Linked DNA regions of Saccharomyces cerevisiae S288C. The gene in region 2 interacts genetically with the main gene of each other region. Each region holds a gene or a part of one and is shown on either strand. Other genes may lie near its edges.

Region 1 (4,717 bases), on a different chromosome or scaffold from region 2:
TTCTTTTGACGTTACAAAAGTTGAGCTGTTCAATGACGTATTTATAAGTATTAAGAAGTTCTCTCTCTTCAGTGGATGATGGACCGGATGTCGATACATGATTTGTCGATATTAGTACAATTACTACAGAGCCCATTGGGGTTATCTTTATTATTGCACTCTGCATGTGGCATCGACATATCCTTCTGTTCTGTGGCCACACCGTCGTCACTTTTACGGTGATCTGTTTCCAGTTCTTTACAAACGCAAGTAGTGTTGTCGTTACAAAAGCCGCATTTGACAGAGCTAGGCAGTTCTGTCGAGTGCTGGTGGCGCTTGATAGCGGTATTGTACTTAATAGGTATCGCCTTCATTGGTTTGAAATTCTCGATCAAATTCTGCAGGATAGGGTCCTGAGCAGGCACAGAGGCTTGTTTCAGAGTAAGGGTCTCCAATTTCTGTTTAAGGGCATGATTTTCCGATTCTTTCGCTTGAAGTTCATTTTGGAGGCGGTTTAGTTTCGTTTCGTAGTTTTTAACGACCTTACTCAGTGACTCTATGGTTTCCTCCAGCACTTGCAACTTGTTGTTTTTGCGTTCTCTGTAGGCCCTTTGGGCGTCTCTATTCTGCCGTTTTTTCTTCTGTAGCTCCTCATCATTTTCTTCAGTTTCGTAATCTTCGTGAAGTCGATGAACTCTTTTCCTCCGCTGAGCTGCTCTATGGGGCAACCTTGGAGGCAGTTTCCAATTTTTGGACACGTGGATCTTGGACAAAAGAGCGAGGTGGCTTTCCTCAGACTCCTTAGGTTTTATCAGAGGTAGAGCCATGACTGTGATAATATGCTAGTTACACTGTTTATGTTGTGTGAACTTGTTGTAATATGGTTAACTTCACTTTCAGTGATTGATATGATAGCGACATCACTGCCGTGCAAAAAGACCATTCCATTACTGCACCTTTTTGTCCTTTTCCGTGGAATAAAAGTTCACTCGTCAGTTCCATGCATTCTGGAAAAAAATGATCTGAAAGATGCCACAGTTGTGGGGCCCGCCCGGCCCAATAGGTAAACTAAAATACAATAGAAGGGGTACTGAGTGCACGTGACTTATTTTTTTTTTTTGGTTTTAGGTTTCGCTTTTTTCACCTTTTTCTACTTTCTAACACCACAGTTTTGGGCGGGAAGCGGAAACGCCATAGTTGTAGGTCACTGGCGTGAGTCAAGGCCGGGCAGCCAATGACTAAGAACACGAGGTAACTTGAATTTAACTATTTATAACCAGTGGTAGTTACGAAGACAAATTGTTTTGTTCGTCAATATGAGTGCGAAACAAGGGTGGGAAAAGAAATCAACAAACATTGACATTGCAAGCAGGAAGGGTATGAACGTGAACAATCTTTCGGAACATCTACAGAACCTGATATCAAGCGATTCAGAGCTGGGCTCGCGCTTGCTATCATTGCTGCTGGTTAGCAGTGGCAACGCGGAGGAGCTCATTAGCATGATAAATAATGGCCAGGATGTCTCGCAGTTTAAGAAGCTCCGCGAGCCGAGAAAGGGGAAGGTTGCCGCAACAACAGCAGTTGTTGTAAAAGAAGAGGAAGCTCCCGTGAGCACTTCTAACGAACTGGATAAGATTAAGCAAGAGCGGAGAAGAAAGAACACAGAGGCGTCGCAGCGGTTCCGCATTCGCAAGAAACAAAAGAATTTTGAGAACATGAATAAGCTGCAGAACTTAAACACGCAAATCAACAAACTTCGCGATCGTATAGAGCAATTGAACAAGGAAAATGAGTTTTGGAAAGCAAAGCTCAATGACATTAACGAGATTAAGTCTTTGAAATTGTTGAATGACATTAAGAGACGGAACATGGGCAGGTAGCCCGCGAAACGTGCGGGCCTGATGTCTTGTTTTTCCTCTCCAACTTCGATTTTTCGATTTTTCCGTTTCTTTACCTAGCATATATATACACACATCTATCTACATATAAATATATATATATGTATATTTATTATTTATAGCATTGCGCGTGAGACAAAAGCGAGATCTTTTCGTCCCACTCCGCATTGATCAAGGACCGTTTATATTCCACAGACTCTATCTCGCTGGGAGAGCACCATCCTATAGTACGAAAGTTTGTAATAACTCGAGCGTACTGAGCGTCTTCCAGTTGTTGTTGGCGGCGTAAAGACTGCGCGGCTGCAGATGTGACGATAAATCTCTCGGAATCTGGGCGGCTAGCGGGACATACTGAATGCGTATGTTTGTCTCTGGGCATACTGTTCCTTCGAAAGAAAATACTCGAGGCTTTGGCAAGAAAACTGAGTTTTTCTTGTTCTGCCGGAACGCTAAGGCTTCCAGTTATGTCTTCGCGGCCAGATTTTCCTTGGTGTAAGATTGCAGATATTGCGCTCACAGAACTACGGTGCCGCCGACTTTGAACGCGCGGGCTGGACGATGATGACGATGACATATCTAGAGCCTTGGATAGGTCTCGCGACATGGAACTGTCGTCGTCGTCTTCATCATCGTCGTCGTCGTCGTTCCTTGAGGCGTCTTCGACTAATGACGGAGCATGGATGGCGCCTGCGCCATCTCGCGATAGTGTCATGTACTTGTGAAAAGCCGCCGAATCGTCATCCACATCATCATGTGGACCGAGCAACGAGGGCAGCAGACCATCTATAGAACTTCCTCGCGAACACGGTCCTGGCTCTACACCTGGTCCTTGTTCATCATGAGTCAAAGTTTCCGTAGCAGTCACATCAACTGGTAGTCCGACGCCTAGCAAACACCTCGTGCCACTCATTACCGACCACAACACCTCCTTGCGGTGTTTATCCGCTATGCTGGCAAGACGGAATCCTACATTACCTTCTTCAAACGGGCGTCTCGTTTTTTTCCCTGTGTTTTATGTCGTAGTTTTCCCTCAAAATACAGGCACGTACCCCATGTATAGGGGCAAGGGGGTGGGGGGTCGGCTCTTAAAGAAAATCTGGAAACTCCGCATTTTTGTCCTGCTCAAAACATTGGTCCAAAACCCTACCAATAACCCTAAGAATTTAGTAGATTACCCTCCCGCTCCGAGTAGGTCCTGTAATTAGGATCGGCGCCAATATTAAAACGTTTAACGGTACCGCACCCACACATTACCGAAAGCGCTCCGTCGGATGTGATTTCCAGTTTTTTTGGGGTCCATAACAACCGATGGCATTTTTTACAAATTGTTCTCTTTATCGTAGGAAGCAGTGATGTCTTGGTTTTCTTACTAATTAGGTCCATTGATTTGATATAATTGCGTGCCAAAGGCGTATGTGCGTCTGTTCTTGCTTTCTGTCTTGCTCTTGTTTGGTAAGCGGATATTTGGTAGAGGTAGTTTAATCTATGGAAATGGTCCTGGTTCGCAATCGTCCTTGGTGGCGGTACTAGCAGAGTACCATTTTCGTCGATCTCAGGTTTCATCTTTCCTCCGTGTGCTTTCTTGCCCATCTTTTTGCTTGTCTTTTCTCTGTCGGCGATGTGGGAAGGACAGTAGAAGAACCACGTATTGTTTTATTTTCTGTTCATCTTTTTTTTCCGTTCTTTTCATTTTGGTAATTTTTTTTCTTTTCCTTTCTTGAATTTATTCGGCGATATTCAGTAGAGGAGTGATCTCTGTAGCGTCATCCCCGTCTGCCTGTTGAGGAATCGACTTGTCATGATTCTTGAGTACTATGAGTTCCGGTCCGGTTGCATCCATGTGCCAGGTATTAAGTTTGAGAATGTTGAGTGCGCCCTCTTCTTCTGCATTCAACTCCTTGACAATAAGTTTCACGTTCTGAAGACTCGAGCTCAGTGAGCCGTTTATTATTACAATCTGGCAGAAAAGTAATAAAATATCGAGTAGTACCAGAAGTAGCTTGCTAGGAAACGCTGTGGGTACCGGACAAGTAAATTCCCTTATCAAAAGCATTATCACAAATCCGTACGGTTTGGAACATATGTCTCTCGATACGTCTAGCCTAATGTGGTATACTATACAGTACGCTGTTTCTAGAAGTATTAGGCCTTGGTAATATCGTATGGCTTTGTTTATTATCATTCTTACAATAGGTGTTTCTAACCCTCTGATGGCAAGACTTTCATCATCTTCCTGATCATTGTCGCGGCCCACCTCTAAATAGTTCTTCTTCAGGTACCTGAGTGTCAATTCCTGAATGAAATCACAGAGCGATGAAATTATCCACCCCAGGAGGATCAAGAATAATGATCCATCTTTGATAAACCTCAAGTACAGGCAGCAATAAACGAATTTCTGCAAATTCGCTATCACTGACCTTTGTCGTCCATTGTCATCTTCCAAATGCAACATTTCCTTCCGATGCCCTGCTCCTTTCCCTTTCTGTATTAGCTTGTCATCTAAGCCTTCGTCATTGAAGTATCCCTTCCCTTTCTTTCCCTGGAGAAAAGCCATATGAGAAGTTTATATTACCCGGTTTAAAGTTTGTTTTTTTTTTTTTTTCTACCACTAGAATGCTCTCTATAGTACCCATGATGCATTAGTTGAACACTAGCAGGTCAGGTTTTGTACCCTCCCGAATTATGGCTATCTCCTCAATTGCGATGACATTGTCAATATGAAACTAAGTTGTCAATTATCCTAGTTTGCGGCCACCTATGCCCCTTGTTGAAAATGGTACGCCTTTCAGAGATACTTGAATCTTAGGCACTTTTGGCGTAAGATTCTTGACGTTTTCTTT
Region 2 (4,580 bases):
AATGATGATGATGATGATAATGATGAATAAACGTTTCGGTTTACGAGTTTCTTTAAATATACATATATGATATAAAAAAAAAAATACGTACCACTTACAATTTGCAAATATAGATGATCGAAACTGCCATTTATGGTAAGACAGTGGATGACCAATCTCGATGTGTCCACTGGCATCTTCCAAAGGATGTAATTGCCATCAGGTTTAAATGTTGTGATAAGTACTATGCGTGCTTTGAATGCCACCAAGAGTTAAGTTCTCACCCGCTAGAAAAATATGATCTCCTTGACGATGCAAATAAACACTTGATTATTTGCGGAGTTTGCCGTCATGAAATGACGTTTGCAGAGTATTACGACTACAATTCAAACCTTATTTGTCCCAATTGCAGATCCCCCTTTAATCCAGGCTGTAAATTGCACTACCATTTGTATTTCCAGAACCCTCCCCCCGCTATGTGTTGAGTGTTGTTCTATAAATGCATGCCATCTTAAGCTCTGCTGTGCTCTTCTCGTTAAGGAAAAAATGCGATGGTATATATATAGATATATATATATATATATGTATCTGTATATATATGTTCATACATATATATATATCTATTATTGTTGTTATTATTATCGTGATTATTATTTAGGTCCTCCCTTCTTTTTACCTGTTTTTAATCTACCCTCAAATCCGGCTCTTTTCTTTGGTACGGCACTACCGACATACTTTCTTTTCATCTTTTCTTGCTTATTTCTCTTTTTACCCTTGTTGTCTTTCCTAATCCTCAGATTCTCTTCTCTTCTCTTTTGTCTTTCAGATATCGTGTCTTCCACAACCCTCTTACGTTCGCTCCATTCAATCGCAGACTTTCTCTTTTGTGCTTCCTTTCTCTTTATAGCTTTGCGAAGTAGTTTTTCGTCATCCCTAATCTTAATTCCTTCTGCTTGTAACATAGCCTTTTGCCATTTTTCCTTTTCCTTCTGCTTGATTTGTTCTAGTTCGTCTTTCGCCTCCATCTTATTCTTCTTGGCTTCTAATAACTTTAAGTGTGATTTTACATCATTCTTAGCCGGACCCTTCGTTCTACCAGCTTTTCTTAACCTTTGTAAATCTGAAGTGGCCCTTGCACCATCATCGAATATGATATTTTGAAACATTACACCATCTGCGTTAATTTCTGAGTCCTTCTTGCCTTTTTTGAATCTTTTTTTCGAATTGTTTTCTAAATCACTATCGATGTCTTCCATATCGGAATCAGACGCAATTTCATCCTGATCCTGTTCCTGTTCACTTTCTAGACGCTTTCTTTTTTTCAACTCTTCCTTGCGTTTCCTTTGAGCAAGAATAGCCTCTCTAGAACCGGGTGCTTTCCTTTTACTCTTCATATCTGAAATTTTCGCTTGTAACTTGGAACGTAGTGCTTCCAAGTTTTTCTTTCTTTGTAGTTTCTCTTCCTCTGTAATAGACTTCTTTTCGACAGATCTATCGGGCTCTGTAGTATCTTTTTTAGATTCTAATGGTATTTCATTTCCCTCATCATCAAAGATCACCTTAATATCCTCTTCCTCTTCTTCATCTTCGTCTGGTGCTATTATCATAGGATCGTTTACTTCTACGTTCAGGTCGGAGTCTCCTTCCACTTTTGATGTTGCTTCCTTTTGCTTTTGCATTTTCATGTGCTTGAATTTTTCACCAGGTAGGACCACCGGCTTTGCGTCTTTCTCCTTCTTCTTCATTACTTCTAATGTACTAGATGTTTCATCATCACGTTGCTCCGGGTCTAATTTTTTCAGTTTATCATTTTTACTCTGTTCTTTGGTTTTCTTCTTGGCCTTCCATTGCTCTTGACTTTTTTCATCATAATAGTATTTTGCAGGAATTAAAGCCAATAAACCATCGAAGGCGCTTGAATTAGCACGAAGGCGCTCCTCAAGTGAATTACTCATCTCAGTCTCCTATATCTTTCAATTCCCGGACTTTCTTTATCACTTGCAACAACGTCTCAGTCCTCACTTGTTATTCATCTCTTGGTCATCTCATCTCTTTTATTGTACTTTCCTCTTTTCTTTACCGGAGATGAGAATAAAAAGAATTCATTTTAAAAAATTTTCAATTTGGTGTCTGGGTGAAACTTTTTAATCGTGTAATCCCAATTAAACCACTCTACTTTACTTTAATTGGTACACGAACTCATTACACACCTTTGCCTCTATTGCTTGTGTCAATCGTGTTGAGAGAGGAAGCCCAAAACAAGGGAAATTAACCTCTGTAGGCAAGCCATCACATTTGGCAATAGCAGCCCTCATTTAATTTAATTCGGCATGTGGCCGGCAGGGTAATGCGCTCTGCTGCTGACAAAATTGAAAGAAAAATTTTTTTCATCAACAGTTTGCAATACTTTCTTTTTCATATTTAATTCATCCATTCCGTCGTTAATTTTGTTCAAAACTGGTGTCCATCCTTAATACCAACTCAATTCTTTGATTTTGGCCCTCGATAGATTCAAGATGTCCCAAGGTACTTTATACATTAATAGATCTCCAAGAAACTACGCTTCTGAAGCTTTGATTTCTTACTTTAAACTAGATGTCAAGATCGTTGATCTAGAACAATCTAGCGAGTTTGCTTCTTTGTTCCCATTGAAGCAAGCCCCTGCATTTTTGGGTCCAAAGGGCTTAAAGCTAACTGAAGCTTTGGCTATCCAATTTTATTGTATGTTCCATATTTTATTTTAACACTTCCACATACATTGTTTTGCGCGTTTCCCGTTCGTTTATTTGGCACGTCATTTTTCTTCGAAACATAATGATGAAAAAAAATTTTATCAAACAGTTATCCCTGTCTGAATGGGTAATAATAGGTAACCTCTCATATGTTGATATTTGTATTTCTGATATGTTTCTTAAAGAAAAATGAAAGTCAAAATAACAAAAAGGAAGTACAAAGCGTGTCCTAATCCAGGAAAAAATATAAAGGATTGTTTTACTAACATTTCTTCAATTAATGGTTGTATAACCATCGAGATGATGTATATTTAGTGGCTAATCAAGTTGCCGATGAAAAAGAAAGAGCTCGCTTATTAGGTTCCGACGTTATCGAAAAGTCTCAAATCCTTAGATGGGCATCTCTAGCTAATTCCGATGTCATGAGCAACATTGCTCGTCCATTCCTTTCTTTCAAAGGTTTGATTCCATACAACAAGAAAGACGTTGATGCTTGTTTTGTTAAAATCGACAACCTAGCTGCTGTCTTCGATGCTAGATTGAGAGACTACACCTTTGTTGCTACCGAAAACATTTCTCTAGGTGACCTTCATGCCGCTGGTTCTTGGGCTTTTGGTTTGGCCACTATTTTGGGCCCTGAATGGAGAGCTAAGCATCCTCATTTGATGAGATGGTTCAACACTGTTGCTGCTTCTCCAATCGTGAAGACTCCATTTGCTGAAGTCAAATTGGCTGAAAAGGCTCTAACCTACACTCCACCAAAGAAGCAAAAGGCTGAAAAGCCAAAGGCCGAAAAGTCAAAGGCTGAAAAGAAGAAGGACGAAGCTAAGCCAGCAGATGATGCTGCTCCAGCTAAAAAGCCAAAGCACCCATTGGAAGCTTTAGGAAAGTCCACATTTGTCTTGGATGACTGGAAGAGAAAGTACTCCAACGACGACACCAGACCAGTTGCTTTGCCATGGTTCTGGGAACACTACAACCCTGAAGAATACTCCATCTGGAAGGTTGGTTACAAATACAACGACGAACTTACCTTGACTTTCATGTCCAACAACTTGGTCGGTGGTTTTTTCAACAGATTGTCCGCTTCTACTAAGTACATGTTCGGTTGTTTAGTTGTCTATGGTGAAAACAACAATAATGGTATTGTTGGTGCCGTTATGGTCAGAGGCCAAGATTTCGCTCCAGCCTTTGATGTCGCTCCAGACTGGGAATCTTACGAATACACCAAGTTGGACCCAACCAAGGAAGAAGACAAAGAATTTGTCAACAACATGTGGGCTTGGGATAAGCCTGTTGTTGTCAATGGCGAAGATAAGGAAATTGTTGACGGTAAGGTTTTGAAATAATCTCAATAACTCTTCTTCCATATTTTCTTCCCAATATACATAAGAGTCAAACAAAACGAATTTTCAAAAGAAAAAAGAAAAAAACCCTGAAGTCTACTTCATGATTACCCCATACTTACGCGTGGTTTAATTCTATGTAACGATTAACGTCCATGTAATCATTATATATATATATATTGTAATAATCTCTCTAATTGAGTATCACAATCTGCTGCGGTTACTCTAACAATATTTTGCATAAACTTGATTCTTCTCTTCTTATTTCATGTTTCAGTGGGGCATTTTCCATTGTACTTTTGCAACAATAGCGAAAAAAACAATTTTCCGTAAAGAGAAGCGTCAGTCATAAACGGTGTATGTTACCCGAACTGGAATGAATTTTATCTTAAGACTGGAAAACAATTTAGGATAGAACTGAAGATAGTGCAACACGTCTGGTGATATCATGTGCTTTCAAGCAGGATTTGTCACAGTGCTTTAGAAACACAAACAAAGGAGGTATATAGAAGTTGCAGTTGCT
Region 3 (5,145 bases), on a different chromosome or scaffold from region 2:
CTACGACTTTCTCCCTCTCTCCAACATAAAGGCTTTGCTCTTTTTCAACAACGAAAAAGAAACTGAAAAATTTGCACTAGAGAGAAACTGGCCTATTGTCAACTCGAAAGTTTACTTCAATAACCAATCAAAGGAGAAAGCTGATTACGAAGATGAAATGATGCATGAAGAAGACCAAAAGACAAACATTATCGAAAAAGCAATGGATTATGCCATAAGTATTGAAAATATTGTGTAATATTTGTATATATAATATGTGCACAAAATTACTACAAAATAAACAACTTTTTCTCTCCCGGAGAACAAAGTAAGTGGAAAAAATTATACTAATAACAATCTAAAAATGTTTATTAGCTAGGATTATACACATAAATATATATATATGTGTGTGTCTATATTTACATATACTAGACCGCAAAAAAAACATAAGGGCATCACTCATAAGAATAATAATATTAAGGGAGGGAAAAACACATTTATATTTCATTACATTTTTTTCATTAAGCGCCAATGATACCAAGAGACTTACCTTCGGCAATTCTTTTTTCGGACAATGCAGCAATAACAGCAGCACCTGCACCTGAACCATCCTCAGCTGGAACAATCGTAATTGGATCTTTGCTTGCGTCACCAGTCCATCCATAGATATCTCTCAAACCCTTAGCGGCGGCTTCCTTGAAACCTGGGTATTTGTTATAGACAGAACCGTCAGCGGCAATGTGACCAGTCTTGTAACCTCTCTTTTGGCAAATAGCGGCAATACCACAAACAGCTAATCTAGCAGCTCTGGTACCGATCAATTCACAAAGTCTTCTAATCAACTTACGTTCTGGCAGAGTGGTCTTGACACCAAAGTCCTTTTGGAAGATGTCATCAGTATCTTCCAAGTTTTCAAATGGATCATCCTCGATTCTTGCTGGGTAGGAGGTATCCATGATGTATGGTTGTTTCAACTTGCTTAGATCTTGATCCTTCAACATCAAGCCCTTCTCGTTTAATTCAAGTAACACTAGACGCAACAATTCACCCAAGTAGTAACCGGAGGTCATCTTTTCAAAAGCTTGTTGACCAGGTCTTGGAGATTGTTCGTCGACAGCAACATCGTACTTGGTTCTTGGCAAGACCAAATGTTCATTATCGAAGGAACCATATTCACAATTGATAGCCATTGGAGAGTTACTTGGAATATCGTCTGCTAATTTGCCCTCCAACTTTTCGATATCGGAAACAACATCATAGAAAGCACCGTTGACACCAGTACCGAAAATCACACCCATCTTAGTCTCTGGGTCAGTGTAGTATGAGGCAATTAAAGTACCAACAGTATCATTAATCAATGCTACAATTTCAATAGGCAACTCTCTCTTGGAAATTTCGTTTTGTAGCAATGGGACGACATCGTGGCCTTCGACATTTGGAATATCGAAACCCTTGGTCCATCTTTGCAAAATACCTTCGTTAATCTTGTTTTGGGAAGCTGGGTACGAGAAGGTGAAACCTAATGGTAAGGTGTCCTTGGTGTTTAGCAATTCTTGCTCGACCATAAAGTCCTTCAAAGAGTCGGCAATAAAGGACCATAACTCCTCTTGGTGCTTAGTGGTTCTCATGTCATGTGGTAGTTTATACTTGGATTGAGTGGTGTCAAAGGTATGGTTACCGCTCAACTTGACCAACACGACTCTTAAGTTAGTACCACCCAAATCAATGGCCAAATAGTTACCAGATTCTTTACCTGTTGGGAATTCCATGACCCAACCGGGAATCATTGGAATGTTACCTCCCTTCTTTGTCAAACCTTTATTCAATTCGTCGATAAAGTGCTTAACAACCTTTCTCAAGGTCTCGCTGTCAACTGTAAACATATCTTCCAACTGATGAATTTCATCCATCAATTCCTTGGGCACATCAGCCATGGAACCCTTTCTAGCCTGTGGTTTCTTTGGACCTAAATGAACCATCTTATTTTTTCAGTATTCTAATTGAGTTGTTTGGGTGAGTTTGATTAAAAGAAAAGAATTCTAATTGAGTATTGCAAGCCACAATTGTTTCTTATTGCTCTTCTGCTATATATTGCGCTAAGAGAAAGAGAAGAATACAAGATGAAGGAACGGTAGAATATTCCCAAGGAAGTGAAACCGATTGCTTATATACGAAATATTCCTCTTTAAAGAAAAGGAGGAAACAGAAGCAGTTGAGAACAATCTTTGTTGCGTTCACTTGTTACTATTCCTCTCAACGGTCCTAAGGTACCAAAATCCGGGGGGAGAAAGAAACTTTTTCTTTTCATCAACCCCTTAAAAAAAAATGCATAGTTCTTAGGTCTTCCATTTTTTCTTTTGTTGGTTTTTGCAACCAGAGTATTTTTCCTGGTTGCTCCAGTAAGGTATTTCGCTATCTTCCAACAAACGGGGCACACGTGCGGGAGTTTCAAAGGGGCAGAATAGTGGGGTTCAGGGGCATAAGAAGCTCACACAATGCGGAAAAACAAAAGGGGACTGCCATTCTTCCTGAAACCCACGCGTCACTGCTATACTGAGATCTGGCCAGGGGCAACCAGTATACTTAGTGGATAAACGACAGGAACACGTACTCCTTAAAAGCGTCTAAATCTTCATTTTTCCGGTTTATTTCCAACCGGGAAATAAATTATTCCTAATAAAATTTCCGGGGTTTGCAGGATGCGGGGTAAAAGTAAAAAAATGAAAAAGATGTAAAAAGAAAAGTTCGAGGTAAGACCAGGTGCAAGGAGAATACTGGGCGCCAATGCTTTTACTGCAGCGAAGAAAAATTCTAACCGTCTGTTTCGGTTGCTAATTTTTGTCTTACTTTCGATGGTTAGGCTTCGTGGGGTAAAAGTCGAGCTTGTTTTCTGAAGCGGAAATTACAGCAGTTTGCTAGGTGAGTTTTAACTTTCCTAGTTGCATCCCATGGTCTAGATAATCACCCCACCCCACGCCATTCTTTTTTTGCAACACGGGCTTTGTTCCTGAAACAACTGGCATGGAAGATATTCCGGGGTTGTTTAACAATAAACGTGTAGAGTACAGGTAGAATATAGGCGAAGCCGCGGTGAGCACGGAATCGCGCATGGAAGAAAACACACCAGGTAAGCCTTTGGAACGCCATGTGTAAGGTGCAATGCACATGAGTGATTGTTAAAAACAGAAAAGTAAAAATTCCGATCTTGTCTGGAGGATCAATCGTCCTCTCAGTGCGTTTTCTTGGCGAGACAATTCAATTCGCTTTATGCTCTTTTTTTTTGTGAATTTAGCCAATTCCGGAAAAAACATAAAAAAATGGTTATGCATTCTTTATTTTGAAGAATGAACTAGATATACAGTAATATACTAAATTGTCAGCTCTCGGCATAATTCAATGGCCGGAAAGTAGTACTATTAAAAAGAAGTGCGCTCAAAGAATAACTCCGGGAATAGGTGATGTAGCTTTTGGTGCTGGAAGCGAACCGCTTTCATGTGTTTTGGTCCCGGCTGTAGTGTTCTGCGGAGTTGCACTGGTGCTGTTGGTAGAGATTACGATTTTGGTAAATCCTGGTGTGACGGCTACATCAGTACCTCTAGTTAGACCAAACACTAATTCAATGCCAAAACTTAGACGCCCGATGATATTCCTTGTATATATATTATTATCCGCTATGGGCACAGAAGTATGTTTAACAGTAGCAGAAGCGACTTATGTATGGATGTCCAACAACGAAGATGCCACAAACGTCTTCGTAGTTTTATCCACGGCGCCAGGTCTGGAGAATGGACACCAGGGTACTAAAATCATTAATTGCTCTTCCACCATCCTAACGTTGTTGACATTTAGTGTAGATACTTGGTGAAATATGTGCTTGTGAAAGCGATTGTCCATTCTTTATATATAGTCATGAAAGTAGTTAAAGTGAAGAATATATTAGAAGCTTTGGGTTCAAAAGAGGACGGTGAAGTGGCTCGCTTTGTTAATATATTGATTTATCCGAAACCCGGGAAGCACTCTAGAACTATGCCTTAGCATTTTAGTGGTCGAACTAGCCAGTTTTTCGATTGTTGGATGTGTTGTAATGACGGTATTATTTTTGCTCAATGAGTTAAAAGGCGAAAGCGTCAAATTGTAGGTCAGAATATGACTGACAGAATCAAACTGTCTGACAATTGCACAGGAGGATTGGCCGGAGTAAAATCGTTTAAGGTAGTATAAGCAGGTTGAGCAGACAATTGGCTAGAGCTAGCCATTGAGCCTAAAGAATTGCGAACAAGTCGGATAAGACAAAGGGAACTAATGTACAAGATCTTGTATCCTGAGAAGAGGAAATAAGTACTCAAGAATGGGCCAGAAATAATGTTAGAGTTTATAGGGGTGACAGCCCTTGAGCTAATAAATACTACAATAACAGTGTCCGTTTGAATGCTGGTCGGTGAATCAATCAAAGATTTGGTTGCAATGATATGTGCAATTTTGCTGATGGAGCTTGCTAAAGTTGTGATATTAGTCGAGATCCAATTAGAACGGATTAGGCGGGAATCGCTTGAGGGATCGCCAAAAATACTTGTGATTTGTGTAAGTTGGTTGTAATGCAAACCTGCTATCTTTACTTTCGAACAAAATAGATGAATCAGCGGCTAAGTATTCTGTGGCTAATGTGCTAGATACATGTTGAGTACTGCTATTTGTGCGCAACCGTTCTAACAATGCTGAGAGATGATGAATTGAATATATCAGAAGTTTTACTAGCTACAGTAGTTGAGGTACCAATAGTGGGGGTATGCGAAAATTTACTAAAAGCACTGACTGGAGTTGTGGTACTAGTGAATACCTGGTCCAAATAGGTTATGAAGGAATCATTTGAGAATTGGCTAGAAGCAACTAAAACGCCCGTGGATTGAGGTTCAGATTTGCTACTGTCGCTTTCGAAGAAGCTAGATGAACCACGGGTAAAGTATTCTGCATCTAATGTGTTCAATAAATATTGAGTGACGTTATCGTAATGTTACAGTACTAACACCGCTAGAAAATGCTGGTGTGAATGTGAATGACGATAGACGGACTGATGCACTTTTCCATTGTACGATAACATTACTTACAAGATTGGGAGAAGCATGATTGAAAATTTGACTGGAAGAACCACTTATATTAGGAGTGGCG
Region 4 (5,801 bases), on a different chromosome or scaffold from region 2:
AGATTATATCGCTTGTCTATGGCTTACGTAAACATTATTTCTTTGATATACTATTCCGTTAGAATGGAAGGGGGCCATATGATTCTGATTTTCTTGGCCTGGGGGGATGGAAATTTTCCTTTTAGAGCTGCCTGTACAAGACCGAGTGTTCGTTCCTCCTTTAGCATAGAAAATACGGTTATTAGATTATTGGGGCATTTGGCCTGCTTCCATCTTAACGCGAACAAATACTATTCAAGAACTTGTGCTACCTCTTGAAACCAAATGTTAAACTGTTCTGCCATATTTGAAAATAATTTCAAAGTTGTGGGAAAAATATTTTGCCATCATACGACAAACGTTTCTCTGGCTGTGACTGATAGTCGTGTAGGTCCTGTATTATCTTGCTGACAAACATCTTAAAAAGTCTTTTGGAAAAAGAAAAAAATAAACTTTCCTTCTTTTTTTTTTGGTTCCTGCGGCTCTTTCAAGGGGCTGCCAAACCTTATATTCTCCTCCTGTCATTTTAGAAGGAGAGGTAGCGGTCTTTTCTTTTTTTTCGTGCCTACACGCGCACATGACGATAAAACTGGCCCAGGCGAGATCAGATCAGCATTTGCACGTTGCATTTTACTTGTTTTCTTATTGGCAAAGAAAAAAAGCTCGGAACAAGCCACTAATACCCGATTCTATGCTTACAGAATAACCGATACTACTGGAAAGAAAAATTTTTCACATTAGTTCGCTGCATCTCCATGATCGTTTAATTATTTTATATTTAAGAGAAGCAAATCACTTCCTCCAATGTCATGATGGTCTTGGCAATTTTCCTCCCCTTGTTGCAAAAGTGTAAAATAGGTATCCACATCATTCATAAGAAAACTACTAATATCATTTTGCCTCCTATTTGCGGCCTTGCTCACAAATTCAGCGACTGCTGATAGAATTGATGACAAGGTGAGCCCTTCATTTGATCTAAGCAAAAGAGACGAAAGCGTTGCTATCAATGGTTGTCCAAATTTGGATTTCAACTGGCACATGAGCCAACAGAATATACTACATTATGATATGGATGTTACTTCCGTATCATGGGTCAAGGATAACACATACCAGATTACTATTCATGTCAAAGCCGTAAAAGATATCCCTTTGAAATATTTATGGTCTTTAAAGATTATTGGTGTCAACGGTCCCTCAAGCACCGTACAACTTTACGGCAAAAATGAGAAGACATACCTAATCAGTGATCCAACAGATTTTACATCCACTTTTCAGGTTTATGCTTACCCTTCTTCTGACGGTTGCACAGTTTGGATGCCAAATTTCCAAATCCAGTTCGAATATCTACAAGGTGATGCTGCTCAGTACTGGCAAACTTGGCAATGGGGGACAACCACCTTCGATTTATCGACAGGTTGTAACAATTATGACAATCAAGGCCACTCACAAACGGATTTCCCTGGATTTTATTGGACCTACCAGTGCAAGGGAAACAATGATGGCACTTGTACAAAAGCCTCGTCTTCATCCATTACTACTTCATCCATTACTACTTCATCCACTACTACTTCATCCACTACTACTTCATCCACTACTACTTCATCCTCTACTACTTCATCCTCTACTACTTCATCCTCTACTACTTCATCCTCTACTACTTCATCCTCTACTACTTCATCCTCTACTACTTCATCCTCTACTACTTCATCCTCTACTACTTCATCCTCTACTACTTCATCCTCTACTACTTCATCCTCTACTACTTCATCCTCTACGAAAACTTCCACTACTACGTCATCTACTGTGAAAAGCTCTTCCACTACATCCATTGATTTTACTACTTCCGTTGACTCACATACTTCATCAAGCGTAGCCGATATTTATCGTTCAAGAACATCTACTGATGTCACCACATTAGCAGCTTCAACTAGTCCTTTCAGCAGTTTCACTTCAAGTGACTCTAGTAGTTCAAGCGATGTAACCAGTTCAACCATTCAAACTACTTCTGTTGATCCAACCACTTAAGTAGTAAGTTCAAGTTCAGAAGACCCAACTAGTTCAAGCGCTGTGACTACTTCAGTTGACCCAACTACTTCAGTTGACCCAAATACTTCAGCTGATCCAACTACCTCGACCGTTCAAACTACTTCTGTTGATCCAACTACTTCAGTTGACCCAACTAGTTCTATAGTCAGTTCTACTTCAGTTGATCCAACTACTTCAGTTGACCCAACTACTTCAGCTGACCCAACTACCTCGACCGTTCAAACTACTTCAGCTGATCCAACTACTTCCGTAGTCAGTTCAAGTTCAGCTGATCTAAGTAGCTCTGTTATCAGTTCAAGTTCAGCAGACCCAACTAGTTCAAATGCTGTGACTACTTCAATTAACCCAACTACTCCAGCTGATTCAACTACTTCGGCCGTTCAAACTAGCCCAGCTGATCCAAGTAGCTCTGTTACCATTTCTACTTCCACAGACTCTACATCTTCAATTGAGTATACTACATCGGATGATCCACACGCCTCATCAAGTTTAGCGGCTATGTATCGTACAAGAAGCTCTGACGAGGTAACCACATCAACAGATCTAACTAGCTCAAGTGACGTTGCTACTTCAGTTGACCCAACTACTTCTGTTATCAGTTCAACTTCAGCAGACCCAACTACTTCAGCTGACTCAACTACCTCGACCGTTCAAACCACTTCAGCTGGTCCAAGTAACAACATCGGCAATTCCACTTTGGCCAATTCCACTACTTTTGCAGTTAGTTCCACTTCAATTGACCCAACTAGCTCGAGCGATGTGATTACTTCAACCGTTCAAACCACTTCAATTGAACCAACTACTTCTCTCGTCAGTTCAAACGATATTACTACTTCAACAAGTCTAAATATCTCTGTCGTGATTTCCACTTCCACGGACTCTACATCTTTAATTGAGTCTACTACAACAGTTGGTCCACATGCCTCATCAAGTGTTGCTGGTATGTATCGTACAAGAAGCTCTGACGAGGTAACCACATCAACAGATCCAACTAGCTCAAGTGACGTGGCTACTTCAGCAGATCCAACTAGTTCAAGCGCTGTGACTACTTTAGTTGACCCAACTACTTCTGTAGTCATTTCAACCTCAGTTGATCAAACTAGCTCAAGTGACGTTGCTACTTCAGTTGACCCAACCACTTCTGTTATCAGTTCAACTTCAGCAGACCCAACTACTTCAGCTGACTCAACTACCTCGACCGTTCAAACTACTTCAGTTGATCCAACTAGTTCTGTAGTCAGTTCCGCTCCAGTTGATCCGGCTAGTTCTGTTGTCAGTTTAACTTCATCTTACCCAACTAGCTCAAGCACTGTGACTATTTCTGCTAATTCAAACGGTTCAGCTACTTTAGCGGCTCAAACTACTTCAATTGATCCAGTTAGCTCCATCGTTAGTTCAAGCGGTGCAACTACTATCATCAGTAGCGCCTCAATTGATCCAGCTAGTTCTGTAGTTAGTTCAACTTCATCTGAACCAACCAGTTTTATTGTCAGTTCAACCTCAGTTTATTCAACCAGACCAAGTGGTCCAACTACTTCAACAGATCTAGCTACTTTCTCTGACACAATCATTCTAAGGGTTTCAACCACTTCAACCAGCCAAGATACCCAAACAGTATCATCTAGTCTAACTGATATGGTTTCCTCAACTGGTTCAGCTGATTTGAGCGTCTCATCCATTCAAAGATCTCAAGTAGACCCAAGCACTTTCGCTGTCTCGAATAGCCCAGTATATCCAACAGCTTCGACCGGATCAACTTCCACGGGCATTCCAATTGCGTCGGAAAGTCTAAGCCTTTCTAGACAGCAAGGAATTTCGGCCACTTCAAGTTCTTCGATTGTAACTTTAACCCCAGTTGATTCGGCTTCCTCGAGTAGGTCAAGCGCAACAAGTATAATCAAGCCTAATATGCCAGTTAGCAGCAATGATTCGAAGACCCAAAGTTCTGTTTCTGTAGTTGACGCATTCCAATCAACTAAATCTTCATATCCTAGCATAACTTCAGCAGACCCAACGACTCTAGCCAGTGAAAATGGTTTAGTCGGCTCATCTTCCTCAGCTCATCCAATCACATTAGATAGAACTTATGCATCAGCTCACGCAAGCGTCACCGATATTGTCAGTAGAGTTACTGACTCGACTCGCCATACAACACTAGTAACTTCAAACATTAACATTCAGTCTGAGGTTGGGAACCCAAATTACTCGGGTCCCAAAGACACTACCATCACCAAACAATCTGCATTTATGACTTCTCCTGCATCAACGTCTACTATAAGTAACGTTCAATCAACTGCTTCCGTAATGAATCACAGTATTGAGGACAATATTTCTGCAGCTGCCTCTCTAGAAAGTGTTTCTGGTACCTCAACTAAAGATTATTCTAGTCAATCCAGTGCCATTCATTATACAAATTCCTTCACGACCACCACTACTAACGCATTTATCACATCAAAGCATTCCATTGCTGCTGTATCAACAGGAGCCATTACATCATCTGCCAGCATTTCATTAATCATGGAAGGCAGCGCAAACATTGAAGCAGTAGGAAAATTGGTGTGGCTCGCTGCCGCTCTTCCTCTAGCTTTCATTTAGTCATTCTACCATCTTTCATGTCCCTACGCCATTCTCGTTCGTATACCATATAAACCAATTATAGATTTTACATAGAATAATAGTTAAATTTGATTATAGAATATCTTCGGATTCAATAAAAAATTATTATTATCAGACTCTTTCTGTCCACTCCTTGAAGTATGCAAAGTGCTTCGAGAACGCCATGACATTCGACAATTCAAAATTGAGAGAGGACTGCTAAGGAAACTCTTTGAGTTGATTATATAATCGCTATTTAATCTTTTAAAGGGGGAATACTGCTAAATTTTCATTATTGTACAACTGGAGACATGATAGGCCTGAAATGTGCCACCAAATTGCATGACCTTGCTAATGAGGTCGCTGGGTTGCGTATGCACTTTTTACCCTGCTCCGCGTCGAAACAGAACATAATACAGAGTAAAGAGGAAAGAGCGAAAATGAAAAAGTTTCTACACTCAAAAGTCAAACCTTTTTAAAAAGTGATGTTCAGATTCCTTGTTTAAGACAAATACCATTGAGGAAGGCGATTGACCCTAACGAAGTATGTCTAGGAAAAGAAGTACTAAGCCCAAGCCAGCAGCTAAAATAGCTTTGAAAAAAGAAAATGACCAGTTCCTCGAGGCATTGAAACTATACGAAGGGAAGCAATACAAAAAATCTCTCAAGCTGCTAGACGCAATTTTGAAAAAAGACGGTAGTCACGTTGATTCCTTGGCTTTAAAGGGTCTTGATTTATATTCTGTAGGTGAGAAAGATGACGCTGCTTCCTACGTGGCTAATGCCATCAGAAAAATTGAAGGCGCTTCAGCATCACCAATCTGCTGTCATGTATTAGGTATCTACATGAGAAACACCAAAGAGTACAAAGAATCTATTAAATGGTTCACGGCAGCTTTGAACAATGGGTCCACTAACAAGCAAATATATAGAGACTTAGCAACTTTGCAATCACAAATTGGCGATTTCAAAAATGCTTTAGTGTCCAGGAAAAAATATTGGGAAGCATTCCTTGGTTACCGTGCCAACTGGACATCATTGGCTGTGGCACAAGATGTGAACGGTGAGAGGCAACAAGCTATTAACACTTTATCTCAGTTTGAAAAACTCGCTGAGGGAAAAATATCTGATTCCGAGAAATATGAACACAGCGAGTGTTTAATGTACAAAAACGACATTAT

What was found.
Region 1: mutations in TEF4 (region 2) and YIR016W together harm fitness more than expected from each alone (negative genetic interaction), as found in Saccharomyces cerevisiae (2 studies listed by BioGRID).
Region 3: mutations in TEF4 (region 2) and HXK1 together harm fitness more than expected from each alone (negative genetic interaction), as found in Saccharomyces cerevisiae (2 studies listed by BioGRID).
Region 4: mutations in TEF4 (region 2) and PRM7 together harm fitness more than expected from each alone (negative genetic interaction), as found in Saccharomyces cerevisiae (2 studies listed by BioGRID).

What each region holds. Positions count from the first base shown.
Region 1 is NC_001141.2:380,698-385,414, reverse strand, and holds YIR016W (uncharacterized protein), read right to left. Parts: upstream 2,788-4,717; coding exon 1,990-2,787; downstream 1-1,989. Other genes in the region: YAP5 (Yap5p), read right to left, coding at 69-806; MET28 (Met28p), read left to right, coding at 1,296-1,859; ribonuclease P protein subunit RPR2, read right to left, coding at 3,033-3,467; VLD1 (Vld1p), read right to left, coding at 3,601-4,329.
Region 2 is NC_001143.9:280,396-284,975, forward strand, and holds TEF4 (translation elongation factor EF1B gamma), read left to right. Parts: upstream 1-2,495; coding exon 2,496-2,700; intron 2,701-2,789; exon of another isoform or gene 2,790-2,884; intron 2,885-3,026; coding exon 3,027-4,060; downstream 4,061-4,580. Other genes in the region: HOT13 (Hot13p), read left to right, coding at 114-464; ribosome biosynthesis protein RRP14, read right to left, coding at 630-1,934. UniProt on the Saccharomyces cerevisiae protein: Subunit of the eukaryotic elongation factor 1 complex (eEF1). Probably plays a role in anchoring the complex to other cellular components.
Region 3 is NC_001138.5:253,092-258,236, forward strand, and holds HXK1 (hexokinase 1), read right to left. Parts: upstream 1,959-5,145; coding exon 501-1,958; downstream 1-500. Other genes in the region: proteasome regulatory particle lid subunit RPN12, read left to right, coding at 1-238. UniProt on the Saccharomyces cerevisiae protein: Catalyzes the phosphorylation of hexose, such as D-glucose and D-fructose, to hexose 6-phosphate (D-glucose 6-phosphate and D-fructose 6-phosphate, respectively).
Region 4 is NC_001136.10:380,804-386,604, reverse strand, and holds PRM7 (pheromone-regulated protein PRM7), read left to right. Parts: upstream 1-2,523; coding exon 2,524-4,620; downstream 4,621-5,801. Other genes in the region: BSC1 (Bsc1p), read left to right, coding at 1,018-2,004; peptide alpha-N-acetyltransferase complex A subunit NAT1, read left to right, coding at 5,167-5,801.